Oryctolagus cuniculus: one gene and its partner. The main gene of each other region encodes a partner of the protein of the gene in region 2 in a complex. Links are inferred from orthologs where the notes say so. Each region holds a gene or a part of one and is shown on either strand. Other genes may lie near its edges.

Evidence for each region. Proteins that work in one complex are often made in the same cells at the same time.
Region 1: the proteins of PLOD3 (region 2) and COLGALT1 are in contact, whole or in part, in a cryo-EM structure (PDB 8ZGE), measured with the Homo sapiens proteins. The link is inferred for Oryctolagus cuniculus from reciprocal best matches to the Homo sapiens genes PLOD3 and COLGALT1. Residues at the interface, in NP_001075.1 of Homo sapiens: Leu226, Val229, Val230, Leu231, Lys232, Phe233, Asp234, Arg235, Arg241, Gln261, Tyr264, Leu265, Pro275, Gly430, Ala431, Leu432, Arg440, Glu442, Glu446, Arg452; in NP_078932.2 of Homo sapiens: Ala36, Tyr37, Phe38, Pro39, Glu40, Glu41, Arg42, Trp43.

The regions. Positions count from the first base shown.
Region 1 is NC_091447.1:65,369,619-65,373,118, forward strand, and holds the end of COLGALT1 (procollagen galactosyltransferase 1), read left to right. Parts: intron 1-1,188; coding exon 1,189-1,395; intron 1,396-1,944; coding exon 1,945-2,212; 3' UTR 2,213-3,173; downstream 3,174-3,500. UniProt on the Homo sapiens protein: Beta-galactosyltransferase that transfers beta-galactose to hydroxylysine residues of type I collagen. By acting on collagen glycosylation, facilitates the formation of collagen triple helix. Also involved in the biosynthesis of collagen type IV.
Region 2 is NC_091450.1:43,400,223-43,403,380, forward strand, and holds the end of PLOD3 (multifunctional procollagen lysine hydroxylase and glycosyltransferase LH3), read right to left. Parts: intron 3,157-3,158; coding exon 3,015-3,156; intron 2,923-3,014; coding exon 2,809-2,922; intron 2,711-2,808; coding exon 2,642-2,710; intron 2,386-2,641; coding exon 2,281-2,385; intron 1,880-2,280; coding exon 1,733-1,879; intron 1,422-1,732; coding exon 1,296-1,421; intron 948-1,295; coding exon 792-947; 3' UTR 501-791; downstream 1-500. UniProt on the Homo sapiens protein: Multifunctional enzyme that catalyzes a series of essential post-translational modifications on Lys residues in procollagen. Plays a redundant role in catalyzing the formation of hydroxylysine residues in -Xaa-Lys-Gly- sequences in collagens.

The sequences.
Region 1 (3,500 bases), on a different chromosome or scaffold from region 2:
GCCTGGAGGTGTGGCTGGGGCCAGGAAGGAGGCGGGACCTGGGGAGTGACCCAGGCCAGGAGGAGGGACCTGGGGCGTGGCTGGAGCCAAGATAGGACCTGTTAGTGTGGCCTGGACCGGGAAGTGGGACTTGGGGCGTGACCCGAGCCAGGAGGAGGGACCTGGGGCGTGGCTGGAGCCAAGATAGGACCTGTTAGTGTGGCCTGGACCGGGAAGTGGGACTTGGGGCGTGACCCGAGCCAGGAGGAGGGACCTGGGGTGTGGCTGGGGCCAGGAAGGAGGCGGGACCTGGGGAGTGACCCAGGCCAGGAGGAGGAACCTGAAGCGTGGCTGGGGTATTGCTGGAGCAAAGACAGGACCTGTGGGCTGGGGCCAGGAAGGAGGCGGGGCCTGGGGCGTGACCCGGGCCAGGAGGAGGGACCTGGGGCATGGCTGGGGCGTGGCCGGGGCCAGGAGGCATTACCCTGGGCGTGACCTGGGCCTGGAGGTGTGGCTGGGGCCAGGAGGAGGGACCTGGGGCGTGGCCGGGGACATGGCCTGGACTATGAAGTGGAACTTTGGGGGCTTGGTCAGGGCCAAGAGGCATGATCAGAGTCAAGAAGTGGGACCTGGGGGCGTGGTCAGGTCCAAGGGGTAGGACCTAGGGTATGTATGGCTGGGGCCAAGATAGGACCTGGAAGTGTGGCCCAGACAGGAGGGCCTGGAGTTTTGCTGGAGCAAAGAATAGGGACCTAGGGGTGTGGCCATGGCCAATGGTGGGACCTGGGGGCGTGGCCTGGTCAAGAGGCTTGGTCTGGGGCTTGAGCATGAGCCCCGCCTCTGGGGGTGTGGTCAGACATGGGGGCGTGGCCGGGACACAGCCGTGACCTAGCGCATCATCACAAACTCTCAGGAGCCGGGCAGAGGGCTCACGGGGTCCCTGGGCCTGTGAGCACCGTCAGGGGCATGGCCTGTGGGCTGGTGCCCTGCAAGGGTGACAGGGGAATCCGGAGACCTGGAGTGCAGCCTGCAGGCCCGACTGCGGCTCCTGGAGCTGGGATGTGGGGGAGATTGGAGCTGGCAGCCTGTGGGCGTGGCCTGAGTGTGGGGGTGGGGCCTGGCTGTAGACCGGCCCCGTGTGGCTCCCGCTCCGGCCGAGGCGGCACCCACCCCAGGGCCTGGGCTCACGTCCCCGTTCCTGCGCCGCAGCTACGTGGGCCGGAAGCGGATGCAGGTGGAGCAGCCCGAGAAGGCCGTGCCCCGCGTGAGGAACCTGGTGGAGGCCGACTACTCCTACTGGACCCTCGCCTACGTCATCTCCCTGCAAGGCGCCCGCAAGCTGCTGGCCGCCCAGCCGCTCTCCAAGATGCTGCCCGTGGACGAGTTCCTGCCCGTCATGTTCGACAAGCACCCAGTGTGAGGGGCTCGCGGGGCTGGGCGGGCCGGGCCGGGTCCTGGGCGTCTCTGCCTCCTCCCGTGCCGGCCCCGCCCACGTCGGGGCCGCCCCTTCTGCCTCCCCGAGTGCTGCTGCGCCTGCACAGTGGCTGCCCCCTGTGTCCCCGCCCCCACTCACTGCCCCGCCCCTCTCCCTACCTGTGACTCCGCCCCTCCCCTCCTGCACAACCGCCCTTCCTGCGTCCCTGACCCCCAATCACTGCCCCACCTCCGCCTCACTGCCGCCTCTGCCCTGTCCCCGCCCCCAACTCATTACCCCGCCCTGACTCACTGCCCCGCCCCGCCTCACTGCCGCCCCTCCCCTGTCCCCGCCCCCGCCTCACTGCCGCCTCTGCCCTGTCCCCGCCCCCAACTCATTACCCCGCCCTGACTCACTGCCCCGCCCCGCCTCACTGCCGCCCCTCCCAGTCCCCGCCCCCGCCTCACTGCCGCCCCTCCCAGTCCCCGCCCCCGCCTCACTGCCGCCCCTCCCAGTCCCCGCCCCCTCCTCACTGCCGCCCCTCCCCCCAGGTCCGAGTACAAGGCCCACTTCTCGCGCCGCGACCTGCGCGCCTTCTCCGTGGAGCCGCTGCTCGTGTACCCCACGCACTACACGGGGGACGACGGCTACGTGAGCGACACGGAGACCTCGGTGGTGTGGAACGACGAGCGCGTGAAGACCGACTGGGACCGCGCCAAGTCCCAGAAGATGCGGGAGCAGCAGGCGCTGAGCCGCGAGGCCAAGAACTCGGACGTGCTGCAGTCCCCGCTGGACAGCGCCGCCCGGGACGAGCTCTGAGGGCGCCGGCCGGGGCGTCCGCGTCCGCGTCTGCTGGGGCCACCTGCTGCCCCCCGGGGCGTCCGCTGGGGCCACCTGCTGTCCCCCGGGCCGGGCCACACACGGCTCTCCACGCAGTCACTTGCACGCAAGCAGCATGAATGGAGTGCCTACTGTGTACCAGGGAGGGACAGGGCTTGGCATGGGGGGCTGGGCGGGGCCAAGCTGCAATCATTAGGCGCCTGTGTGTACCGGGACTCCATGGAGGGGCGCAGCGCTGGCCCCGGGCCGAGCGCTTTGCTTGAATGACCTCACGCCCCGGGTTTGCGAGTGGCTGCCCCGCTAGGCGCCCTGCCGGCCTCTGGGCGGTTACGTTCACTTCCTGAAGCCTTCGAGCACCCACGGCGCGCTCAGCACACTCGCGCATGGGTTGAGCGCCTGCTGTGTGCCGGATCTGAGCGAGGCGCTCGGGCTGGAGCACAGCAAGGTGCCTGTCGCGCACCCGCACTGCCGCGAGCCGCGGGGACACAGAGGCGGGAGCCAGTGTCCCCGGTGTCGGCACCTGCTCGCCGGGCCACACGCCCAGTGCTGGGTTGGGGAAAGGGGCGCGGTGGCTCCCCGGATGTCCTGGGCTCCCCCTGTGTGCCAGGCTTCACGGGCCCCCCTCCCCTCCCGAGCTGAGCTGTGTGCCCTCCGAGGGTCCTTGTTCCACTGCAGGGGGCAGCCGCGGGCCCGCGCCAGAGGGGGCCCGGGGTGGGGCGGGAGGCCGGGTCTCCCTTGCCCCGCCCTGGTCTCAGGTGCGGCCCCTGCCTGCTTGGCGCGGTGCCTCCGTGCTGGCCTCTGCCGCGGCCGCGTGCTCGGGGGGCCCAGCCCGGAGCCGACGACCCGGCCTCCACCCGCTCCGGGAGACCTCGGTGTGCTGGGCAGACCTGGATAACTTGCTTATTTTTTTATTAAATGTTTCGGGTTGGTTTTAACCAAACTCTGTGGTCTGCGTGGCTGCCAAAGCCCCCTCCCCACCCCTCACCGCGGGCTGCACGGGGTTCCAGGTCCCCGCACACCCCATAAACGTCCCCCCACGTAACTGGGGCGATCCCAGAGCCCCCTCTGCCTTGTTGGTCCAGCGGGAGGGGCGTCCAATGAGTGAACGAGGAGGGGGCTGTCCTGGCGTGGGCTCCCCCAAAACACCCCAGGAGGGGGACTGCAGAGTGTCCAGACGTGAGCCCTGGGAAGGGGAGGAAATGAGATGCAGCTGGGGAAGAGCCCTGCAGGCGGCGCCAACGAGCCGACAGCGCCCGAGGAGAGGAGC
Region 2 (3,158 bases):
CACCGCCCTCCTGCCAGGGGGCTCCAGCTGGGGAGGGGGAAGGGTCCGGAACCAACAAAACGCCCTGGGCCAGGTGGCGTCAAGGCCTCTAGCAGGGAACAGAGAGGAGATCCAGGGGCAGCCCCCAGGGAGCCGCAAGGGCTTGGGGGTCTCCCAGAGGCTGGAAGGAGCCCTGCTCTCAGGTCTCTCCTCCTCTCACAGCCCCCTCTGCCAGGAAGCTCTCCAATGATGACCCTGCAGGGAATCCCGTTCCCTGGTCATGCCCAGGTTCAAGTTTAGGTCCAGAGCACGTGCGTGTCCAGGGGGCAGCTCCTGTGCCAGTGCCGTCCTTGGCTCCTGCACCCATCCTTGGGGAGGTCAGGGGCCTGCGTGGGGCTGGGGCCTCCACCTGAACCGGCAGGTACAGCCTTTCCCGCGCTCTGCCCGCAGTGCTGGGCAGGGGACAGGGTGGCGGGCAGGAACAGGACCAGACAAGGGGGGATGACAGACAACCCACGGACTCAGAGTTACAAATCCTCCTTTAGTGGGAGGGAACAGTCTCAATAATTTATCACCCAGGGCACCCCCAGGAGACCCTTTCCCCAGGAGCCCTTGCGGGCTCTAGGGAGGGGGCTGTGTCTGGGCAGGGTGGGGGCGGGGGAGGTGCACGACACGATCAGTCCCAGGCACGCTCAGCACACATTCAGGACGCGGGGAGACCGGCGGCCGCCCCTTTCCGGCGGCTGGGGCTGCGGCTGGGGCTCCCCTGAGAAGGCACCATGGCAGTGAAGGTTTGGCACAGTGGTTGCGTGTCAGGGGTCGACAAAGGACACCATGATATAGCGGGTGCCCCGAGTGGTGGGCAGCCCCTCGTGGTAGTGGGTGAGGCGGCCGGGGTGCAGGAGCCCCCAGCCCTTCCGCGGGGCCGAGATCACGCAGTCGTAGCGCAGGAAGCGGCAGCCGCCACCCTGGTGGGGGGAGTGAGAAAGGAGCAGGCGAGGGGGCTGAGCACACACCTGAGCTGTGGGGGTGGTGCCACACGGGGGGGGGGGGGCATCTGCGGGAAGGGGGCAGGAAGGCACGGGGTGGGGGTGGCAGGAGCTCCAGGTAAGGGTCCCCCCCACCAGGGCATAGGGCATGCACATGGGGAGGAAGGCACGGGGTGGGGGTGGCAGGAGCCCTGGGTAAGGGTCCCCCTGTCCCGGGCGTGCACGTGGGAGGAAGGCACGGGGTGGGGAGGTGGCAGGAGCCCTGGGTAAGGGTCCCCCCGCCCCAGGGCATGCACGTGGGTGTGTGCTGACGGGGGAGGGGCTCACCTCATAGTCCAGGCCCTTGTGGTTAAGGGCCACGTTGAGGGTGAAGGTGGAGGAGTCGTGATGTGGCCGCAGAGAGGGCTGCTCGTCCGGCCGATAGCGAACCACGAAGTTCATCACCGCCCGGGCCTGCAGGTGCAGAGAGCAGAGGATGGGGGGAGGGGCTGCTGGGGAGAGCACAGCACCCCCCCACACACACACACACCTCGAGACCCCCAAGGTCTCACTGCTAACTGGCGCCGCGGCTAAGCCACGATGCACCCCGGGTCTCGGCCTGCCTACTTCTGGCCCGGTCCCTGTCCCCGCTCCCCGTCTCATTCCTGGGACCTGGATTCCACAGAACCTTAGACACGGGAGCTGATGGGGCTCTGGGTGGCCACTGGCAGGCTGGGGCAGAGGTGGCGGTGGCAGGGGCGGTGAGGGCAGCCGCAGCGGCCTACCTTGGTGTGGTAGCCCGGAAACAGGCTCTCGGTCATGGGGCCCACGTAGGTCCTCAGCAGCTGCAGCCACTGGTCCTCGTAGCCCACCTGCTTCATGTGGATGTCCACGGTGGGCACATTCTCGTAGCCTCCGGCCAGCCTTGAATCCTGGGGGCAGTGGACGCTGAGCCGGGGCCCCTCCGCGCCCCGCCCGGGCCAGGCCCCCTCCCCCATGCTCCCAAGTCTTCACACGCTTGCTCTCCGTGCCTGGAGCACTCCTTCCCTACTTCCTGATTTCACAGCTCCCATGAAGCCCTCCTGTCCCCCCAGGCAGGGACAAGGGCTGCCCGTCCCAGCCTCTGGAAGCTGGGCAGCTGCTGCTCGGGACAGGAGGGCAGAGCCTGCCCTGCCTGGCGCCTCGCTGCACCTGCACGTCCTGGCCAACGGCCCAGTGACGTTTCCTCGATGCAGGCGTACTGCCTGGGGCTCACTTCCCCGTGTGTCCCCCCCATCCATTCCATCGCCCCCGGTCTCAGCGTCCCCTCCTCCCGGGAGGCCTGGACCCTCACCTCATGCCGGCCTCCTGACCACTGGCCGTAGTGCTCCATCTCTTCCACCAGCTCGTCACACATCTGCTCTGACAGCAGCGGGAACCAGTAGACATCCGGGCACGGCTGGGGTGGGGCGGGGAAAGGAGGAGCAGCGCTGGGGTGGGTGCTCACAGAGCAAAGGCAGAGGGGGAGAGGGAGGAGAGGCTGGGGCAGAGCAGGGCGGCCTGCGGGTCCGGGAGCCCCAGGTTCCCACCCCTCCACAACAGGCACCTCTTTTTGACATCCTAGTTTCACCCATAAACCGATCGCTACGCCCCGGACACAGAGGAGGTCGCGCGGGCTGGAGCCCCGTCGGCTCGACTGCTGCCACAGGACTCACCTGCTCCACCATCCCGTCCCCTTCCAGGGCCCTGCTATAGTTCTCGTGGATGTACTGCTCCTTCCAGTCCTGGGGGGGCAGGATGGGGTGACACAGAGGATGGGGGGGACCCTGAGATGCGGCCCAGGCAGCCCCCGCCGCCTCCTCGGCTGCCGGCCCCCACTCACCACAGGGTTGTCGAAGATCTGCCACAGGTCGGGGTGCAGGTGGTCCGTGTCGTAGCGGGACGTGGCCAGGAGGCGGCCAAACTCATGCCGGTTGCTGAGGTGCAGGAAGATGCCCTGGGTGGGGGCGGGGCGGCGAGCACGCGTGAGAAGGGCGCTGGCCACGGCAGCGGGCGGCCGGCCCCCGGCACCCGCCCGCCAGCCCTCACCTGGTCACGCAGGCTCTTACAGAAGGCCATGTCCGGGTCGGTGTCGCTGCTCGAGAACACCTCTCTCTGGGGCAGCTCGGTCCGCAGGGTCTCCCCGCGGATCACGTAGGCCTGGGCTATGTAGGGCACATTCCACACGCCCCT